Diceros bicornis minor: one gene and its partner. The protein of the gene in region 2 binds, or shares a complex with, the protein of the main gene of each other region. Links are inferred from orthologs where the notes say so. Each region holds a gene or a part of one and is shown on either strand. Other genes may lie near its edges.

Region 1 (9,780 bases), on a different chromosome or scaffold from region 2:
TTTTTCACCTCGAGCATGTACCAACTTAATCCAAATCAGTGAATGCTGAAGGAAAGAGGGAAGGCTGACTCCCGAGCCGGCTCCTGCCCCAGCCTCCAGGCCGGCTTCCCCAAGACACGTAGGAGCGGGCATCTGGGGTTGGTCAGCACCACACCTCCCCAGGCAGCATCTCCCCTCTACGAGGACCAGAGTAAAACCAGAGAAGCAGGACAGACACTCGCCCCAGGGCGCCTCACGCGCCCGCTCATTCTGTGGCGCACCTCCAGGGGAAGGAACGCACTTTTAAAATGAAATATTAGCTACAAACCACCAAAGACTCAGGCTTATTTTCACATCTGCTGGAAACTGTGGGGGCTTTTTGAAACAAAGGAATCACGGCGTTTTGTCTAGATACTTTTGTAAAAATACACAAACACTTATTTCTGATCTAGACACAGAAGATGTAAGGTGTGCAGTCAGTGCCAGTGCCATGCTCGCCCGCCCGCACACCCACTGGGCTCGCTGCCTCGCCCTCCGATCTCAGCAAAGACGGCGCTGCTCCTGAGAGACCCAGCCGGCCCGAGCCTGTCTGCTGTCCGCGCCCGCAAGCTCCTTGAGTGTGGCCGGCCCCGCCGCTCCCTGTGCGGCACAGGCGCTCCACAGCAGCAGAGCACAGACGCAGGGATGGCCACACCCCCCCCACCTTCCTCCGTTCCCACTCCAAGAAGCAAGGTGGGCAACACATGGGAACCAGGGGCCTGGCTCGTCCGGGGTTCTAACCAAGACAGGACGGGGGACACTCCCAGTCCTCCTGGGAGACCAGACGACATCGGGCCCTTCGACCAAAGACACAGTCCAGCGGATCTGCCTGCGACGGCCATCCGAGCCCAGGTGCCTGCCCACTGGCCCTTGCTGCGGTCCCGCTCACCTGTCAGGATGGCCCTCGCTGCCCCACCTGCCACCCCTCCCCAGCCCAGCCCACCACCCTCTCCCCCAAGGGGCTGCTCTTGCCTTTAAAACCCGTGCACACCCACCACCCCATCACCATCAACCGGCTTGCTCCCGTCCAGCCATTCCCCTGGCTGTGTCCCCTGCACCTCCACAGGAAGCTGCCATTCGCCTCATCCTCTTCACCAAAGTCTGCCTGGTTGACACCTCACTGGTCCCCTAAGTTTGTCCTCCTCCGCTGTGACCCCCAGAGCTAACTCCAGCCCCCTCCAGCCTCCCCAGCCCCCAACAGCCTTCCACGGAACCCCCAGAGCTCTGGCTGACGCCCGTCAACCCCAGGGGCTTGGCTCCCACCTATGCTTACGGGCTTGATCTCACACCTAAGATCAAACTGGAACGCCAGAGCTGAGATTAACCACGGCTGCTTCCCCGCCAACCCTGGCTGCCAAAATCATCCTTCCAAACCCAAATGTCACACCCCCACTTAAAAAACTTAAGGCAGCCTGAGGAAAGGCCAAATGCCTGGTGGAACCTGGTTCCAGCCACACCTGGTGTCGCCAGCTCTCAGGACAGGGAAGGCCTCTCAACTCCGCTCGCCCCATGATGGTTCTCAGCCCACACTACCCGGTTATCATCGCTGCGCCCAACCCTCCACAGGGTCACCAACTCACATGATGATGATCCAACACCAGATGCGGGGGAACCACCCCACCATCAAGCCCTGGGGTGGCCTGCAGGAAGTGACCCCGAAGAAGATCGTTCACAAGTCCTTCCCCTGCAACCAGGCGGCAGCAGCCTCGACTGTCTTTACCTCCCAGGCCAACGAGGAATCACAGGGCCTCCCAGCAAGGAGTCTCTCCCTCTCCTCCAGTCAGGTAATAAAAGAGGGCAGATAACTCGCTTCCCTGAAACTCGCACCCCAGGACTGCAGACTAACAGGCTTGGGGGCCAGCAGCGCCCTCTGAAGGATGCGACTGCGCGTGGCCACCTGCCTTGCATCTTGGGAGAAACACACCACAGAACTGGGCACCACCATCAACAAATGCAACGAGAGACGATAAACCACCTCAATCACACACAGATTACGACTCTCCCTTAACGGACACCACACAGGGTGCAAGTGTGTGTTCACACACACCCTCCACCAAACCAAAGCCAGCGCCTAAGGTGAGGGCCTGCCGGACGGTCGGTGAGAGCGAGGGGCGCCCTCTGGCACCTTCAGAGAACATTAAACCCCCGGAACTGATGGGAAGGCTGACATGGTCACTCGGTCCCCAGATACGGACACATCTTCACCACCTCTGGCTGTGGTTCAGGTAGACGCAGCTCCTCGGAGCTGTATGTACAACCCTGTGCAATACACAAGCAAATGGCCTCTCTTCGCTAATGTTTACAGAGCAATGCATTCCGAGACACTAAAGGGTGCAGCGGGGTTTCAGGGAATTTAACTGATCTTACCAAGTGTAGTCAAGAACCACATGAGCCATTAAATAGACCCTGTTTTTGCACCTAAAAGCCTATTTGTTGGAACAGATTTAAAAATTCAGTATATTCTCTAGTTTCACGACAAATACAAAGCAAGCTAAAGTAGAATTTTTCACCACATTTCATTAATCACCAAGTTTCATTTTTTGAGACAAAGGGAGCCAAAACAAGTGCTCAGCACTGGACGGACCCAGGCTGAACTAACTCCCCATACTCTGCACGCAGGGGCTCGGCAGTGGGGATGCGACCAGCGCCTGACCCAGGCCCCATCCCAGCGACTGAGGGGTCTGTCCTGCAACAAGACAGAGTCCACATCCAGTCTGAGAGGACTCGAGGCCAGTGTGTCACGGATGCTGACACGATGTCTGTCACCGGGGCTCAGATGCAAACCCAGGTGTGGAAGGAGGCCCACACCCGCGCCAAGCACCAGCTGCCCCGACGGTTCCCCCCCCCCCCCCCCCCCGCGCCGCCGCACTTGCTCTCGACACCGACAGCAGACCCCGCCGCCGGCACGGTGTCACTCTCAACCGCAGCGGGAAAACCACAGAACGCGGCGCCAACGGCCGTCTGTGCACGAGGCGGGCATACTTACATCTTTGGCCATGTTACCAGATCCGTGAAATCGATGCTATAACTGTCCACCCTCCAGAGAAGAAAAGTGATTTTTCTGGTAAGAAGGAAGGAAAAACAAGAAATGAGTAAGAACGAGAAAACAAGTTAACACAATATCAACCCTTCCCGCGGCACCCCCACCCCGGCTGCCCCTCCAGGGTGCTGGGCCTTCCGTTCCAACCACAGCCCCGCCTCAGAGCGCCGCTGGCAAAAGCAGCCCGACGCTGGGATTTTAAGTCATCCCGGCGGACGGAGGCACATCCAACACCAGGATGCCCGGCGATGCCCGGGCGCCCCAGCCGCGGCCGTGCTCCCCGGACGCCCACACAAAGGCCCTGCGCCCCCGCCTGGCACACGGCCGGCCCCCAGGACGCAGGGCACCGCTCACCCCGCGCCGGAGGGGACCCGCGCCCCGCGCAGTGCGCGCCCCGGGGCGCCCGCCCGCCCGTCCGCCCGCCGCCCCCCGCCCGCGCCCCCGCGGCCGACCGCGCCGCTGACAGGTGGGCTTCCGGGGTCCCGCGCGCCGGTCACTAGGCCGCGGCCGCCCCCGCGCGCCCCGGAACCGGCAGTCGGGGCAGCGCCGCCCCCGGACCCCGGACCCCGGACCCCTGCGCTCGGCCGACCCCGACCCAGACCGGCCCCGACCCGACCGCGCCGGACGCGGCGCGGCGGCTCCGCCTGGAGGCCCCGCCCGGACCCCGGCCCCGACCCCGCGGCCGGGTCATCTGGGGGCCCGCGGGCGGGCGGGGGGCGCAGGGGTCCGGGGACGCGGACCGGGACCGTCGTGTCGGGGTGCGCCCGCGTGCGCCCTCGGGACCCGGCCGCGCGGCCTGCCCGCCGCACCTGGCTCGCGGGCGCGGACTCGGCGGGCGCGGGAGCGGTCCGGGCGGCTCCGGCCGCGGGGTCCCTGCCCGGCCGGGGTCCTGCCCTGCGAGGCGCCGGCGCGGGGCTCACCCTGGAGGGAGCGTCGGGCGGCGTGACGTGCGCGGCGCGGTGACGTGGGCGCGGGCCCGGCTCCCGCAGCGCGCCTGCGCGCCTTTTCGCGCCTTCGGCTCCCTCCTCCTCCTCGCCCTCCGCCTCCCGCCGGTGCGGCCCGCGCTCGCGCCCCGAGGGGGATGGGCGGCGCGTGCGCGTGTGCGCGGTGCGTGCGCGCGGGCGGGCGGAGGGGGGCCCCGGCGTGGGACGCGGCGGTGCGCGCGCGGGTGCGCACGCGGGGGAGGGGTCCGGGTGTGGACGCTTGTGTGTGCTGCACACGCGGAGGAGAAAGGGGGCGGATGCATGTACACATACGCACGCAGGGGAGAGGGGGGCCAGGTGTGTGCATATGCACATGGGTGTATTTGCGGGTGTGCGTGCACACAGGCAGAAAGGGCACAGATTTTGTGCTCACAGGTGTTTATGTGCGCGCACGGAGGAAAAGAGGCTGGGTGTGTGCACCGTGGAGGAGAAGAGATCGGTGTGTGCGCGCACGTGTGTATGTGTACTCGCGGAGGAGAAAGGCGGGCTAGGTTTGTGCACGTGGGCGTGTTTGGGCGGGTGCGTGTGTAGGTGCACGGAGGAGACGATGTGTGTGCGCGCAGCGCAGAGGGCCCTGTCCACCTGGTGGTGCTCTCCTGTCCGTGCTCGGCCCTCCGCCCAGATTCTGCGCGTCCTTGGTGCAGAATGGTGCCGGGGAGGGAAACTCGGCAGCCGGTTTGCTTCTCATCTCCAGGAGCGCCTGGTGGACCCTGAGCCCTGGAGACTTGTCCTCCCTGCAGCCCACCACCACCAGGGCATTGGGCCCAGGGCCTGGAGACCCAGCAGAGGGCGGGCTGGGCCTGGGAGTCAGTCCAAAGGTCAAGGCTGCATCAGACGGCGGTGTGCAGCGAGCACAGGCATAAGAGCACAGGCATAATTACCATCTCGGGACTTGAGCACGGGAGCAAAGGCCTCTGCACCGAAGGGCAGTGTGTTTGCATTACACCCCCTAGCGCGAGGTCAGTTTAGGTTACTCCAGTCTTAAACTGTTAACACCTTAGTGAGCACTAATTTCTTCTTGAAGACAGCAGAAATCTTCATTCTTTGTCCAGATTAGCACACAATGGACACATGGGCAGAAACATGGATGGTGCCGTGATGGGGGTGCATTAAAAGCTTCCAGAGGGAAAGTCCTACAGAAGGACCTTATTTCTCTGCTGGTGGAATTTACACTGCTCTACCCTTAGCAAGTGCCCATGATACCGGAACCTACATCCCTCCCTTTGGTACCTCCAGTGGCCATATGTCCCTAGCTCCATTTTTCTTTCACAGTAATTCGTTTTTGACTATATTTGGCTATTTACCCCCAGATGGCAGCCGGAAGCCCCCTTCCCAGCCCTTGGACCCAAGTGCACAGGACAGCAAGTCTCCTTTGAGAGCTAGGGGCTCACAGTTAGGAAGAAATGGAGGATCAGAGGACGGAATCTTAAGCCTCTGCCTACAGATTCAAGGTTCCCGTGATTCGATATTGTTTACACGGGATGACTACCTGTAATATTCGAAATAATTTCTGCACAAAAATCCCTGTAGTGAAATATTCTGAACTCACAAGAGCTACCACAGCAATGACAGCTCTTTGAGGCTCCGGTTTACTTGGGGAAAGGGAAAACACTTGTTCCTCTATAGTCAAATATCCCCCATTTCTGTGTTAAAAAGTAACAATTCTCTCTTGGTTGAAGATCCAAATATTTTCAGCCACTGCCTTGCCTTGAAGTCTCTAGATCAGATTGCAGGAATGCAACCTCTTGATAAGTACCGCACCCCAACTCCCTGTATTCATCTGATCCTTCCATCGCCATCTGTGTCTGGGGCAAGAGTTGTTCAGGAAGCGTGACTTCTAGTGTTGATCCACTTCCCAGTGGCTGGTGTCCAGCCCCGCCTCATCGTCCAGGACACCACAAGAAAATGGTTCTGAAGAAAGTGATCGGGGTCCTTCCCAGGAAAAGTCCTCATCTCCCCAAAGCTCCCTCTCTCTTTGTGTGTCCAGTCTGTTGAGTCTTAGGGCATGAGACAAATCCTTCCCCCTCCCCCACCCCCATAAAAGAGAGAGAGGAAATTTTCTAATCCCTTGAAAACTTTCATTCTAAATCTGTTTGTTCAATACCTGCTTGTCTTTGGCTCCCCCCTCAACGACACTGGTCTTTTCGCCAGCCCTTTCCTGTTTCCCATCTTCCTGGGCCACCTCAGCAACGGTGATGTCAAGAGGTGGGAAGAGCGGGAGGGGACGGGGCTCGTGGGACTTACGGGGGATGTTTCGGGATGTGGACAAGTGACGCTTTCTCATTCTTTGGTAAAATATAAATAAAGGCATCTTGGGAAAACTTTGTTCTGCTTATTTGTGTGTATCGTAAAACTTAAGTAAATCAACGTGCTTGCTCAAGCCCAAGATAAATCCCCCAGCCCTCTCCCCAAGGAGGTCACCGCCTCTAAGCCCCATCTGCCACCCAGACACGTGAAGACGCCTTTACTTCTCTCTTACTCTTCCTTATGTTCACGACTCCTTTTGAGAACTGCCAGTCAAATCCAAAGTCCTCCTCTTGGAAGGAGGGTCAGTCCTTGACGCCCTTGCATCATTATGCTTTGGATATTGCTCATGCCTCCATCACTGAGTCACTTGAACAAGCACTTACAGGCTGAAGCCACAGTCCTTTGAAAAGTGACCCTTGGATACAGCTAATTCTGGAAGACGACAGTGTCCAATTTACTCAACTATCTCTCACAGCGCTGTTCACTACTTAGACTGGCTTTTCATCTGAAATGTTCTCTGGCTTTTACAACAAAAGAAATCCCTTCCGTTCCTTCGCCATTTGACTCCACAATCCTAAAGTGTTCCTTCTGTGTGACTTCCCATTGCTCTAGCTACGATGATGTCAACGTTACTTTCTTCCACGGACCCTACAATGTAAGGCTGAAAGACCCAAGTCCTCTTTGTACCCTTTCCTTCCTCAGTAGAGTCCATTTTCCATCTTTCCAGGAGTGAAAGCAGCCCCAGGAGCCTGCAGCACAATTTTAAGAAACTTGACTTTATGTACAATTGAGTACTTTTGGTCATTTCTCTGCTACCTGTCCACTCATCTTACGGGTTCAGAGAAGGACCTTGGAACCACCCGCTACAATGAAGCTGAGATGAAGGGCAGTCAGACAATAAGTAATCTCAGCTTCTCTGATGTTCAAACTCCTTTAGCTCAGAAATAAGCAGACCAAATCTAGTTCTCTGATAGGAAGACGAACCGCAATTTCAAAACCTTTACCTTTCCTGCATTCCTCATTCACCAAACATGTTTGAGCTCAAATACATGCCAGATGGGACTCTGAGTGCTGAGGTTGCACAGATTAGTAAAATGGAGGATGGCTTAAACAGGAAAGGCAGATCACGTACAATCGAATACAAGAGGAGACAATACTCTTCGCTATAGGGGAAGGGCATTACAGAAGCAGGAACCCTTGTTCCCCCTGCAGGCAGTCTGGAGGGCTTCACAGAGAAGGTGACATTTGAGATGAGCAGTGACCAGCTGAGAGTATACAGAGAGGTGTCGGGCAGTGGTTGCGTCCCTCTGTCCCCAGCTCCTGTGGGGGCCCCTTCCACAACTGTCTGCTCAGGTCCCTAAGCTGTGCTTGCTCCCCGTGCCCTCAGCCTGGGGGGAGTAAGGGCTTCCTGCAGGTCCTCGTCACCTCTACTGGAGTCGTTAGCCCACCCATACCACTACGTTGGTGCCCTTCCAATCTCCATAGACAAAGCCTTCGGTGTCCATCTAGTCCTGCCAACAGTAGGGTTGTTCAAACTCTAAACGTTAAAAGTGATTCCTAATGACATGGATCGATTGATTTGCAGAACCAAGAAAGGATATGCTTCAAGTAGGAGGGAGTGATCAACAGTGTCAAATGTGTTACAGGATCAAGTAGAATGAAAGGTGAATAGAGGTCATTCTACCTGGCAATCAGGTAATTGATGATTTTAGGAGAACAGGTCCAATACCATAGAGGGCAAAGGCCAGAAAGCATCTACCAAAGGAGGTGAGGGCATGGGGGTGAGAGATGGAGGGTAATATCAGAGGGTGAGGGCATGGGGGTGAGGGATTGAGGTGAGGGCATGGGTGTGAGAAAAGCAGGGTGAAGGATGGGGGTGAGGGCATGGAGGGTGAGGGATAGAGGCTAAGGAATGGAGAGTGAGGGATGGAAGTGAGGGCATGGGTGTGAGGGATGGGTGTGAGGGCATGGGAATGAGGGATGGAGGTGAGGCATGGGGGTGAGGGCATGGGGGTGAGGGATGGAGGTGAGGCATGGGGGTGAGGGATGGAGGTGAGGCATGGGGGTGAGGGCGTAGAGGGTGAGGGATGGAGGTGAGGGATGGAGGATGAGGGATTGAGGTGACAGCATGGGTGCGAGAGATGCAGGGTGAGGGCATGGGGGTGAGGGATGAAGGATGAAGGATTGAGGTGATGGCATGGGTGTGAGAGATGCAGGGTGAGGGTATGGAGGGTGAGGGATGGAGGTGATGGCTTGCAGGCTGAGGGATGGAGGGTAGGGGATAGAAGCAAGTTTAATTACATTTTCTTCATATAACCTATCATATTTCTCTAAAATTGCATACACACCATTCTAGGCAAACTTCTCCTTCATCTTTTCCTCTTACAGTCTAAAGCTTCCAACACTAAAGATACTTAATTTTTCTCCAAATCTAGGTTTGCCATTCTATGACTAGAACACAAATTCCTCTGGGGGAAACTATTTAAAATCGTGGTTTCATGGACACCCTCATTCACCATTGGTGGGAATAATAATTAGCACAACTTCTCAGTAAGGCACTTGGGCAAGTGTGTTATTCCTTCAAACGACACATGATATAGCTGATCATGAACTCAGGACTCTTCTACCAAACCAGCTCCGCCCCCCAGCATCCACTAGCTCAGGAAATGCATGGTGCCCACCTAGCTGTTGATACTAGAAACCTAGATAGAGGTAAACAACTCCATCTCCTCTCGCTTCCTCCACTCGTATCCTACTCTAATCTCTCATCTATTCAGCAGCCAGAGCAATGTTTTAAAAATGGAAATTAGCTACTTCCTGCTTCTTCAATGGACTGACCTGCTTCTGGGTTGATGAGAAGCTCAGGGGCCCTGAAATAAACAGACCCCAAGGGAGACTCGTTCCTCAGTGCACTGCTGCCTCACAAAGTATGGGAAAGGTCTCCAGGGACCTAGTCCCAGAGAATGTGCGCTTGAGAAGAATGTGTCTTCTGCTACTGTTGGGGGGAGTGCTCTGCAGACAGTTAGGTCCAATCGGTCTACGATGTTGTGCAAGTCCTCTGTTTCCTTGTTGACCTGTTGGGTGTTCTATCCACGATCAAAAGTGGGGTATTGACGTGTTCTCTATTATCGCAGAGCTGCCTATTTCTTCCTTCAATTCTGTCAATGTTTGCTTCATATATTTAGAAGCTCTGATGTTTAGTGTATATACATTTATAATTGTTATATCTTCTTGGTGAATTCACCCTTTGATCATTGTTACAAGAGACAAAAGAGGACATTATATTATCATATCATTAATATCATTATCATTATATTATCATTATACAATGTCCTTTGTCTCTTGTAACAATCTTTTACTTCAAGTCTATTTTGTCTGTTATTAGTGTAGCCACCCCTGCTCTCCTTTGGTTACTAACTGCATGTAAAATATTTTTCCATCCTCTCACTTTGTCTGTGTGTCCTTAGATGGAGAGTGAGTCTTGTAAACAGC
Region 2 (10,365 bases):
CATTCATTTTAACTGCTAAAAATATTCCTTCATATGAACTACCATGATTTTTTAAATTCATTCCCCAATTGAGGTTTCCAATTCTTCATTATAACAAAAAATGCTGTAATGAACACATTCTTACACAGGTATGTAAGAATTTCTTTAGAGGCTACCCCAAGAAGTAGAATTGCTGAGTCAGAAAAGGTGCATCTTCAACTTTACTGGATACTGCCAAATTTCCTACTAAAGTGACTGTGCCAAGTTATACTCTCACCTGTGTATACTAATAATACAGAGGTCCTGTTTCCCTACATAATGACCAAACTTGGTATTATCTGACTTCAAATCTCCCCAATCTGATGAGAATGAAATGTTATCTTGTTTTTACTTTGAACTTCCTTGATTAGTCGCGAGACTGAACATCTTTGCCTATATGTATTAGCTATGTGAGTTTTGGCCTTTGTGGAATCATATTCTTTACCCTTTTTAGTTGCTGTTTGTCAATTATTTAACCATTTGATAGTAGTTCTTTATATAATTCTGGATACTGATCTTTAGTCAATTATATGCATTGTAAATATCTTCTCCCAATCTGCTCTTTGTTTTTAATCCATTAGTCCATTATGGCAGAAAAGTAAATAATCTGAACCCATAGGTAAAAATTTAAAGATAAAAATTGAGTTTTTGAAATGGAAATAAAACTGAAGCCCGGATTGTATTACTTGCATTAAAATGTTAGATAACTTTAGTTTACTATAGTTTTTCATGATGATTCCATAATTTGATCTTTGCTTCTAAAGTTCCTCGTCTGTCACTTAACTGGATTACTCTGCCTCCATTTCTCTTCTTTGTAATGATTATACTTTTGCAACTTATTTAAGTCCACTTCTGCAGGATTACAGCCCAGGTGTTCAACTCTTTATGCACTGCCTCTTGTTCTTAAGCCTAAATATAACTCAGGATGGAGTTCAAGGTTAATAAATAGAATACAGCTGAAATATTACATTTCTTGTTAATTATTTTAATAGTAAGTGATTTTTTAAACCATTAGGTCCATAAATTTTGACAGTGGTATTTCCCCCAAATTGCCAAACATCCTTTTCCCACCAATCTTTAATAAGCCATAAGAGAAAATTCACCCAAAAGGCACAAATAGTAAATGTAATCAATTAAATTACACAACAGATAGAAAAAGCAATTTCTGCCTCTTCTTTAAAACATTACTTGACCTTTTCTATAATAGATTCTAATAGTGTTGCTTATCTCCCGAAGAGGAAACCGAGAAGTATTTACATGTTCCGTATATAAGTGCTGTGCATGCAGTTCAAAGTTTAATACCATATAATATTTTATTTACCTTTTCAGTCCAGAGTATTTCCTAAAGTTTCTCAATATCCTTATTTGGAATTCTCCCAATATTACACAATGATGAGTCAAAACCTTTAATAGTAAACTCTTCATACAAGTGCCTAATACCTTAAAATTCAAATATTTTTCACCAAAGAAGCAAAATAGAATGGATACTAACTTAGATGTGGTAAAGGGAAACCATGACCTAGCTTCTAAATTCAGCACTCCATAGGTACAAACGCTCAGAAAACGATGAACAAAGAGAATTCTTACTATCACTGTAATTTATGAGCTTTTAATGAGTCACACTCTACTTTTCAAATTCTAACATAATTACCTCTGCTCTGAACATCGCAGGATTCTAGTTAAAGATACATAGTTCCCTTCAACTGTCCCTTTGCTGACAGTTGGCACAGATTTTCTGCAAGCCACGTATAAGGCACATGCTAACCAATGAAGATCATTTCCCTGTAAAATAAAAGAAAATTGATTTTTACCTAATGAGCTATAGATATTTCAATATAAAAAAATTCTTACGTTTAAATTGAAAGTGTTATTTATATGTTTGTGGGAAACTGTATTTTCAGTGATGGCTGATCCCATGTTTCTTCTCATAAGGTAACATTGATGTTGTTCCACTGAGAGGGAGGAGTCTGTGTTTCCTTACTTTGAACTGTCTCAGCCAATAGCACAGGTGGAAGTGATACCACGTAACTTGCAAGATCATAAAAGGCAATACAGATTCCACCTGGCTCTGTCTCTCAGGACATGTGCCTTGGCAGTGCCAACATGGGAGCAGAACACCCTGGGCAAACTACTTAACAGTCACAGAGGCTCAATTTTCTTATCTGAGGACTGTGAGAATTAAATGAGTGACAAGTATAAAGCATAGAAAATACAAGAAATCAAAAGATACAATTCGATAACCAGTATTCTGTGTTAAATATCCATGAGCTTTATTTTCCATTGTACACTTCCATGAGCCTGACATCCCACAATATCTTACAGAATACCTGACTACAAGCTCCACAAGGGCAGGAATTTTTACATTTTGTTCACTGCTCTATTCCCAGCACCTACAAAAGTGGCAAAGAATAGGTGATTGTGAAATATTCACTAAATGAATAAATATTCATTCATTTATTGAGTAAACTGAGCTAAGAATCTGAGATCAAAGTCTTAAAAAAGTTGAGTAATCAAACATGTGTTTTCAGAAATAATTTACTAACCATCTATTATTTGTCACTTGCTTATATAACACGGGACTTCACAGGACTTAACCTCTGTGAATTGAAATACGTCAACTATATGGTGATAACGCTTGTTCTATCTAATCTAGATAGAACCTCAGGATTATCCTGAGGGTAAAATAAGAGCTTATTTTGAGGCAATTACACCCATCACCAAAAAAAAAGTCTTTCTCTCTGCCTGACCACAGGAACCACTGAGAAATAAATAGGAACATGGCCTTTTCAGCCTGATCACCTAAGTATATGATAGAGCTTTGTAAATTCTAAAGCACTGTCTATATGAGCGCTTTATGTGCCAGAAACTACACACTACCTGATTTAACCTTCGGAATGGTTCTGTGAGGTAGGTACAAATATCTCAAATTTACACAGCACAAAAGTGAGTTTTGGAGTGGTTAAGTAAATTGTCCAGAGTCACCTAGGTCTGTCAGGTTCTAAAGCCACTGTATTACTAGCTTTTCTTTCTTTCTCTTTTTTTGTAGATATAACAATGGGGAGAAGAAATCGAATTAAAATTCTATTGATGCAAGAATAAATAAAAAAAATAAGCCGAGTGAGTGACACGTTGGCAAAAACACCCTGTTACAGTCAAATAATACCTTGGGTTAGGCCTTCTCATTCTGAGCCTATTTGCCCTACTCTTTCCCCAAACTGTAAAACAACCTAAGAAAATCACGCGGCCTCCTGTTTAAATGCCACCCACACGGGCAGTCAAACAGCTAATAAACAAGACAGACTTCCGCGTCCCTTCCCATTGGCCCATGACGGGGAGGTGCCTACGGAGTGGAGCCTCACTGGCTAGAATGGCTATTTTTCTCATCTGCAGGCCCGCCCGAAGAAAGGGGCACAACACGCCTAAATCACAGCGACTCTGCGAGTCCTGTGCAAGGCCTGGGGCCACCAAAAGCCCCCCAAAGTCGTCGCGGCCTCGTGACAAAGCGGGGCGTGTGTCTATATCCAGCTGGGCAGAAAGTCCATTTCCTTCGCCCTGGGGAAGATTCGTCTTTGTTTACACCTCCGTAAACACAGCCCGCATCTTAACGCGTTTACGCAAACCGATGCCAAGCCCGGACAAAGGCCATTTGGCGCCGTCGGAAAGAAGTGAAGGAGAAGCCCACAAACCCGGCGCGAACACGGGCAGGTCCCCCGCCCTTCCCCGGGCGGTCCTGACACCCGCACCTGTCTGTCCTGCCAAAACGGTGGCTGTATTTTTGTCATTGTGACCCCGGCACGACCTCAGCCCCGCGCTGCTACTTTAGGGCAAGAGGTGACCCCGCTCGGAACCCGGCAGGGCAGAGCCGCGAGGCGGGTTCACCGTCGGGGCCGCTCAGAGCTCTGCCAGAGCCGGGTTCCCAGGCGCAGGGGGCTCCCACCCCTCTCCAGGGGACCCGGGGAGCCGCGCCCGCCGGAGGACCCCGCGGGCGCCGAGCGGCCAGAGGCGAGGCCCCTCCCCGCCGCGGGGCGCGCCCACTAGGCCCGGAGAGGCGCCCGTCTGCCCCCGGGCGCACCTCCAGCGTGTAGCTCTCGCTCATGCTCCGGTAGCTGTCCCAGGCCTCGGCCCGCGCCGCCTCGTCCATGTTGAGGCGGCTGCACAGCTCGTCGAACCGCTGCTGGGTCTGAGGGGCTGGCGACCGGGCCGGCTGCGCGGCGTCCTCCGCCTCGCCGTCGTCGTCCTCCTCCTCATCCGAGGCTGCCGCCGCCGGAGGAGGAGGCGGGGGTGGCGGCGACTGGTCGCCTCCCGATGGCATAGCGCACCCCGGGACGGCCGGTCCTCAGGTGAGCTGAGGGCCCGGGCCCGCAGCCATTCAAACCGCGAAGCACCCGCCTGTCGGCCGCCCGCACAGCCACTGCGCCGCCCCCAACGGCGCTGGACCTCACTTAGGCACCCGTAGTTCTGAGCACGGCCTGCTGGGAAATGTAGTCCAGGCCGGAGGCTCGCAGGGGTCAAAAATCATCTTTAAAAAATCAGCTCGCGTACTCTTTTTTTCGCTGAAGTGAAAGCAGCTTCTGTACATGTTAAGTGCTGCCTCTTCATCGTGAGAGCATCCATCAGGGCTATGCTGAAGACAAAACATCCAAGGAACATTGACATGTGAAGGTTTAGTGTCCACGGTGTCACCAGAAATAACATTCATCGCCTGAGTGTCCTTATGTAAAAAATAAGGATAATAGAAAGGACCTATATGCCTAAGTTCAAATTTAGGCTTCACTCCTAATTTATAGTTCTTTGCTATGTTTTAATTTTATCTGAGCCTTTCAAATAATTATTGGATTTTTTTTAAAGTGGTAATTCTTTTTTTCCCCATGGGGCAAATTTACGTTCACTATAAGTGACATATTCATACTACCCTCAGTCACCCAATTGGCTTAATTTTGTTCCTTTCTTTTTATTTTTCTTTCTCCTTTTGTATCTATAGTGAACTTGAATCACTATTTCAAATCTTCTTTGATTTATAAATGGGTAGATTATAAAACATTTTCATGCTTGAGGAGGTGTAGGCACTGCTGTTTTGCTGTGGTGTCGCTTCTCTCTCTCTTCACTGACCCTTTGAACCAGCCACCGTGCTGTGAGGAAGCCCAGGTCACTTGGAGAAGCCTATTGTCAAAGATAAATAAAGCCAGACATTAGTAAAAGGGGTGAAAACAGATTTTATTCAGCCACTACTAACAGTGAGGGAAAGAACTCAGATCCATTCTGATTTGGCAGAGGCAACTGGGTGATTTAAAGAGAGAATGAAGGAGTAGGGGTGGGGAGAGTGCAGAGCTCAAGCAAAAAACTACAAAGAGTTGGTGAGTGTAAATGTGACTAGGCCAGCTGTGTCTGCTAGCTGGCAATTTGTTGAAGTTAGTTCTCACCAAGTGCACAGGACCGGGGGCCCCTGGTCCTCAGCCCAGCCATGTTGGATGAGCCAGATTGGAAGCAGATCTTCCAGCCTTCCATCAAGCTGTCCCAGCTAATGCTGTATGGAGCAGAGATGAACCTTCCCACTGATCCCCGTCCAATTTGTGGGCAAAGGAAATTATTATTATTGTTTCAAGTCATGAAGTTTTAGGATGGCTTGTTATGCAGCAGTAAATAATCAAACACCTGTTAAGTGTAAGACATGTATTTATCAATTATCATGAAAGAAAAAAAATCACTTAATAATTGGGTGTTTTTCTTGGTAATTTTTTATGCCTCCACCAGTCTCTCCAATAGATTAAATTTGTTTAACCTTAAAAAGCTAAAATTACTTATGTATACACGTGGAATACCACTCAGCCATAAGAAACGATGAAATCCAGCCATTTGTGACAACATGGATGGACATCGAGGGTTTTATGCTAAGTGAACTAAGTCAGAGGGAGAATGATCTCACTCATAAGTAGAAGATAAAAGCAACAAACAATCACAAAGAGACAAAGATTGGATTGGTGGTTACCAGAGGGGAAGGGAGGAGGGAGGAGAGCGAAAGGGATGACTAGGCACATGTGTGTGGAGATGGGTTGTAATTAGTTTTTGGGTGGTGAACATGATGTAATCTATGCAGAAATAGAAGTATAATGATGTACACCTGAAATTTATACAATGTTATAAACCAATGTTACAAACCAATGTTACCACAATAAAAAAAATTAAAAAGCTAAAATTACTTAAGAATTGACAACATTCCTTCAAAAAAAGAGATAGGTTTTAAGTCAGAGCCACTTTTTGTGTGTGTGTGTGTGAGGAAGATCAACCCTGAGCTAACATCCATGCTAATCCTCCTCTTTTTGCTGAGGAAGACCGGCTCTGAGCTAACATCTATTGCCAGTCCTCCTCCTTTTTTTTCTTCCCCAAAGCCCCAGTAGATAGTTGTACGTCATAGTTGCACATCCTTCTAGTTGCTGTATGTGGGACGCAGCCTCAGCATGGCCGGAGAAGCGGTGCGTGGGTGCGCGCCCGGGATCCGAACCTGGGCCGCCAGTAGCAGAGTGCACGCACTTAACCGCTAAGCCACAGGGCCGGCCCAGAGCCACTTTTGATGATGGAGATTAACTGACTTGGACATAATTTTTGAACAAGTTCTTAAGAAAAGAGTTGAAATTAGATTCTTAGACTATGCTTAACAAACACTTATTTCTCTTATCTTATCTCCTTCTCCCAGAAGTTCGAGTGGCCATCTTAAAACACAAATCTGATCACCTCTTGCCTCCGCTAAAATGGTTTCCTGCTGCTCTTCTCAGGAAGTCAACACCCTGACAGCCTACAGGTTGCCTGTCTCCGTGCTCTCTCCCACACTTCCCCCGCATCTTCAATCACTCCTTCCATCAGTGAAGTACCACCTGAGATGTCAGTTTCTCAGACAGCCCTATTAAATATTCTCATGGCACTTATTATAATCATAATGAATTATTTACGTGTTTATGTTTCATGTCTATCATCCTCACTATGCTTTAAGATCTATGAGAGGAGCGACTGTCTCTCTTTAGTTCCATTCTGTGACCTTAGAGCCTACTTATGGTGCCCGGCATGTTATTGACTCACCATTATATTTATTGAATGAATGACTGCTTATGATAAGTAAGATATATCTTCTTCTTATTAGAGCCTTAGATTTTGTGCATGTAAAATCCTTACTCATGTTGTGATCTGATAGCCCAATAGAATGTCTGACCGTAAATGACAGTCGCCTAAAAATAAACTTTGTTTACATTATATTTATCACTTAAAATACATGAGAACTGTGAAACTTTGCCAAAATTTTTTATATAACAAAACACACAGGTCTTCAAACTTTTTGATCATGTCTCCCTAAAAGATATAACCTTCTAGAATATCTTAGTGTTGACATCTAATTTTTTTTTTTTTTTTTTTTTTGCTGAGGAAGATTCACCCTGAGCTAACATCTGTGCCAGTCTTCCTCTATTTTGTATGTGGGTCGCTGCCACAGCGTGGCCGCTGAAAAGTGGTGTAGGTCCACACCTGGAACCACACCCGGGCTGCCAAAGCAGAGCATGTCAAACTTAACTACTAGGCCATCGGGCCAGCCCCGAGATCTAAAATGTTTCATTAAAAGTTTGATCAGGTGCAAAGGATGTAATATCCAGCATGTAACTATAAACCTTTTAAAATAAAACCTTTTAAAATAAACTTTAAATATATCCAATGGACTCTAAATATCATGATTTGATACTCACTGTCATCCAATTTTAAAAATACATGAACAAAACTTCTCTTTAACAATTGGAAATTTTCTATCATTCCATTTTCTCTTTCCCCTCATATTCCCGTTCCTACTATCCCAACAAAATGTTATCCTAATATGTTTTGTGCTTGAAAGTCCTTTATTGATCTCTTTCAGATCTCCTTTCAGCAAAAATGTACAGACAAATTAATTTGTTTTAGTATCCTTCTGTTCATTCTTTTATGTCAGATTCATTGAGGTCTAATTTGCATGCAGTAAAATTCACTCTTTTATATGTACAGTTCTATGAATTTTGACAAATACATACAGTCACGTCCACCACAAACAAGAACACTTCCGTCATCCTGAAAGTTTCCTTGTGCCCCTTTGTAGAAAAACCAACCTCACATAGCCCCTGGTAACCACTAATCAGTTTTCCGTCCCCATAGTTTTGCCTGTTTTCCCAAATGTCATAGAAACATAATCATAAAATATGTAGCCTTTGAGTCCGGCTTCTTTGAATGTAGCAAATTGCCTTTCAGATTCATCCAAGTTGTTGCATGTGTCAGTAGTTCATTCTTTTTTATTGATAAGTAGTCTTCTGTTGTATGAATGTACCAACGTTTCTTTATCCATTCACCAGTTGAAGACATCTTGGTTGTTTCCAGTTTTTGGTGATTATGAGAAAATCTACTGTAACATTTATGTATATGTTTTCGTGTGACACGAGTTTTCATTACTCTTGGGTAAATACCTAGGAGTATGTTATGGACTGCATGTGTCCCCCCAAAATTCATATGTTAAAGCTCTAACCCCCAATGTGATTGTATTCTGAGATAGGGCTTTTAGTAGGTAATTAAGGTTAAATGAGGTCGTAAGTGCAGGGCCCTAGTCCATAGGATTGGTGGCCTTATAAGAAGGTGCCCAGGCAGACTAAGACAGAGTGGTATTACTGCACTGCATAGTAAATGTTAAACTTTATAAGAAACTGCCAATTTTTTTGCTAAAGTGGCTCTATCATTTTGCATTCCCACCTACTTTGAAATTTAAATTTATTTTCTGTGATCATGAAGCTATAAGTGTTAAATTCCTTTCAGATTGAGTGATCAGATGGCTTTTATTGAGACTATGGCTTGAACTGTGTTTGCAGTTTGTTTATGTGTCTCCCATAAACATTCAAAAAAAAGAAAAAAAAAAGTGCTGCTGCCAGCAAAAACTGTTCATTTGTTTTGAATTTCCACTTGAGGCTGCTATCTACTCAGGCGGGCTCAGGCCAATTTATATTTCACCTGGTATGTGAAGAGTCTCTTGTTGAGACCTCAGTTAACTGGCATTTTATTTGTGATTAATTCCAGTCAGGTGTTTGTGTCCCATATAGACTGATACCACGAGCCCAGCAGGTCTACCCCGCAAACCAGATTTGCTTATTGCGAATGAGGATCTGCCTGCCAAAAATTCAATCCACCGTATAAACTACAATTAGCTAAATTTAGTGCCCAGGGAAGCCTTGGCAATCTGGAATAAACACAGCCTGCCCTTTTAGCTCTTTCTGTCATTATAAACAATTATTGCCTTATGATGCCTACAAGGTGTGTTGGAGGGGATATTGGGCTACATACCATCAACTGCTCTGTACTGTTGAGTTTTTAAACACTTTGTCTATTTTTTTCTTCTTTCTTGCATTCAGGCTATAAGATGTTTCTTTTCACTGGGGTCACCATATGACATTTTGGTAACCCTTTTTCTCCTCTCTTTTATTGAGGAAGGGATACTTGCAAACTAGGTAACTGAGGTGGCTGGGAATGTGTATCCAGGTAAGGACCAACAGGCCACGAGTGAGGGCCTTGCTTTCAATGGAGGGCATAGATGTTAGTGATTGAGTTTAAGAAATCAATCTTGACCACAAAAGACCCCAAATAGCAAAAGCAATCTTGAGAAAGAGGAACAAAGCTGGAGGCATCACACGTCCTGATTTCAAACTATAGTACAAAGCTATAGTAATCAAAACAGTGTGGTACTGGCATAAAAACAGACACATACATCAATGAAACAGAATAGAGGATCCAGAAATAAACCCACGCATATATGGTCAATTAATTGACAACAAAGGAGCCAAGAATATACAATGAGAAAAGGGTAGTCTCTTCAATAAATGGTGTTGAGAAAACTGGACAGCTACATGCAAAAGAATGAAACTGGACCACTATCTCATACCATACACGAAAATCAACTCAAAATGGCTTGAAGGCTTGAACATAAGACCTAAAACCATAAGATTCCCAGAAGAAAACATAAATGGTAAGCTCCTTGATGTTGGTCTTGGCAATGATTTTTTGGATTTGACATCAAAAGCGAAGGCAACAAAAGCAAAAATAAACAAGTGGGTCTACATCAAACTAAAAGGCTTCTGCACAGCAAAGAAAACCATCAACAAAATGAAAAGAAAATATTTGCAAGTCATATATCTGATAAGAGGTTAATACCCAATATATATGAACAACTCATACAATTCAACAGAAACACAATCTCATTAAAAAATGGATAGAGGGTTTGAATAGACATTTTTCAAGAGAAGATATACAAATGATCAACAGATACATGAAAAGGTGCCCAAAGTCATTAATCATCAGGGAGAT

The links. The genes of interacting proteins can lie anywhere in the genome.
Region 1: RBL2 (region 2) and TFDP1 share a complex: the UniProt entries of both Homo sapiens proteins name them as parts of the DREAM complex. The link is inferred for Diceros bicornis minor from reciprocal best matches to the Homo sapiens genes RBL2 and TFDP1.

Annotation. Positions count from the first base shown.
Region 1 is NC_080748.1:87,232,643-87,242,422, reverse strand, and holds the start of TFDP1 (transcription factor Dp-1), read right to left. Parts: upstream 3,997-9,780; 5' UTR 3,979-3,996; intron 3,944-3,978; exon of another isoform or gene 3,868-3,943; intron 3,080-3,867; 5' UTR 3,017-3,079; coding exon 3,005-3,016; intron 1-3,004. UniProt on the Homo sapiens protein: Can stimulate E2F-dependent transcription.
Region 2 is NC_080771.1:6,626,244-6,636,608, reverse strand, and holds the start of RBL2 (retinoblastoma-like protein 2), read right to left. Parts: upstream 4,419-10,365; 5' UTR 4,331-4,418; coding exon 4,091-4,330; intron 1,801-4,090; coding exon 1,670-1,800; intron 1-1,669. UniProt on the Homo sapiens protein: Key regulator of entry into cell division. Directly involved in heterochromatin formation by maintaining overall chromatin structure and, in particular, that of constitutive heterochromatin by stabilizing histone methylation.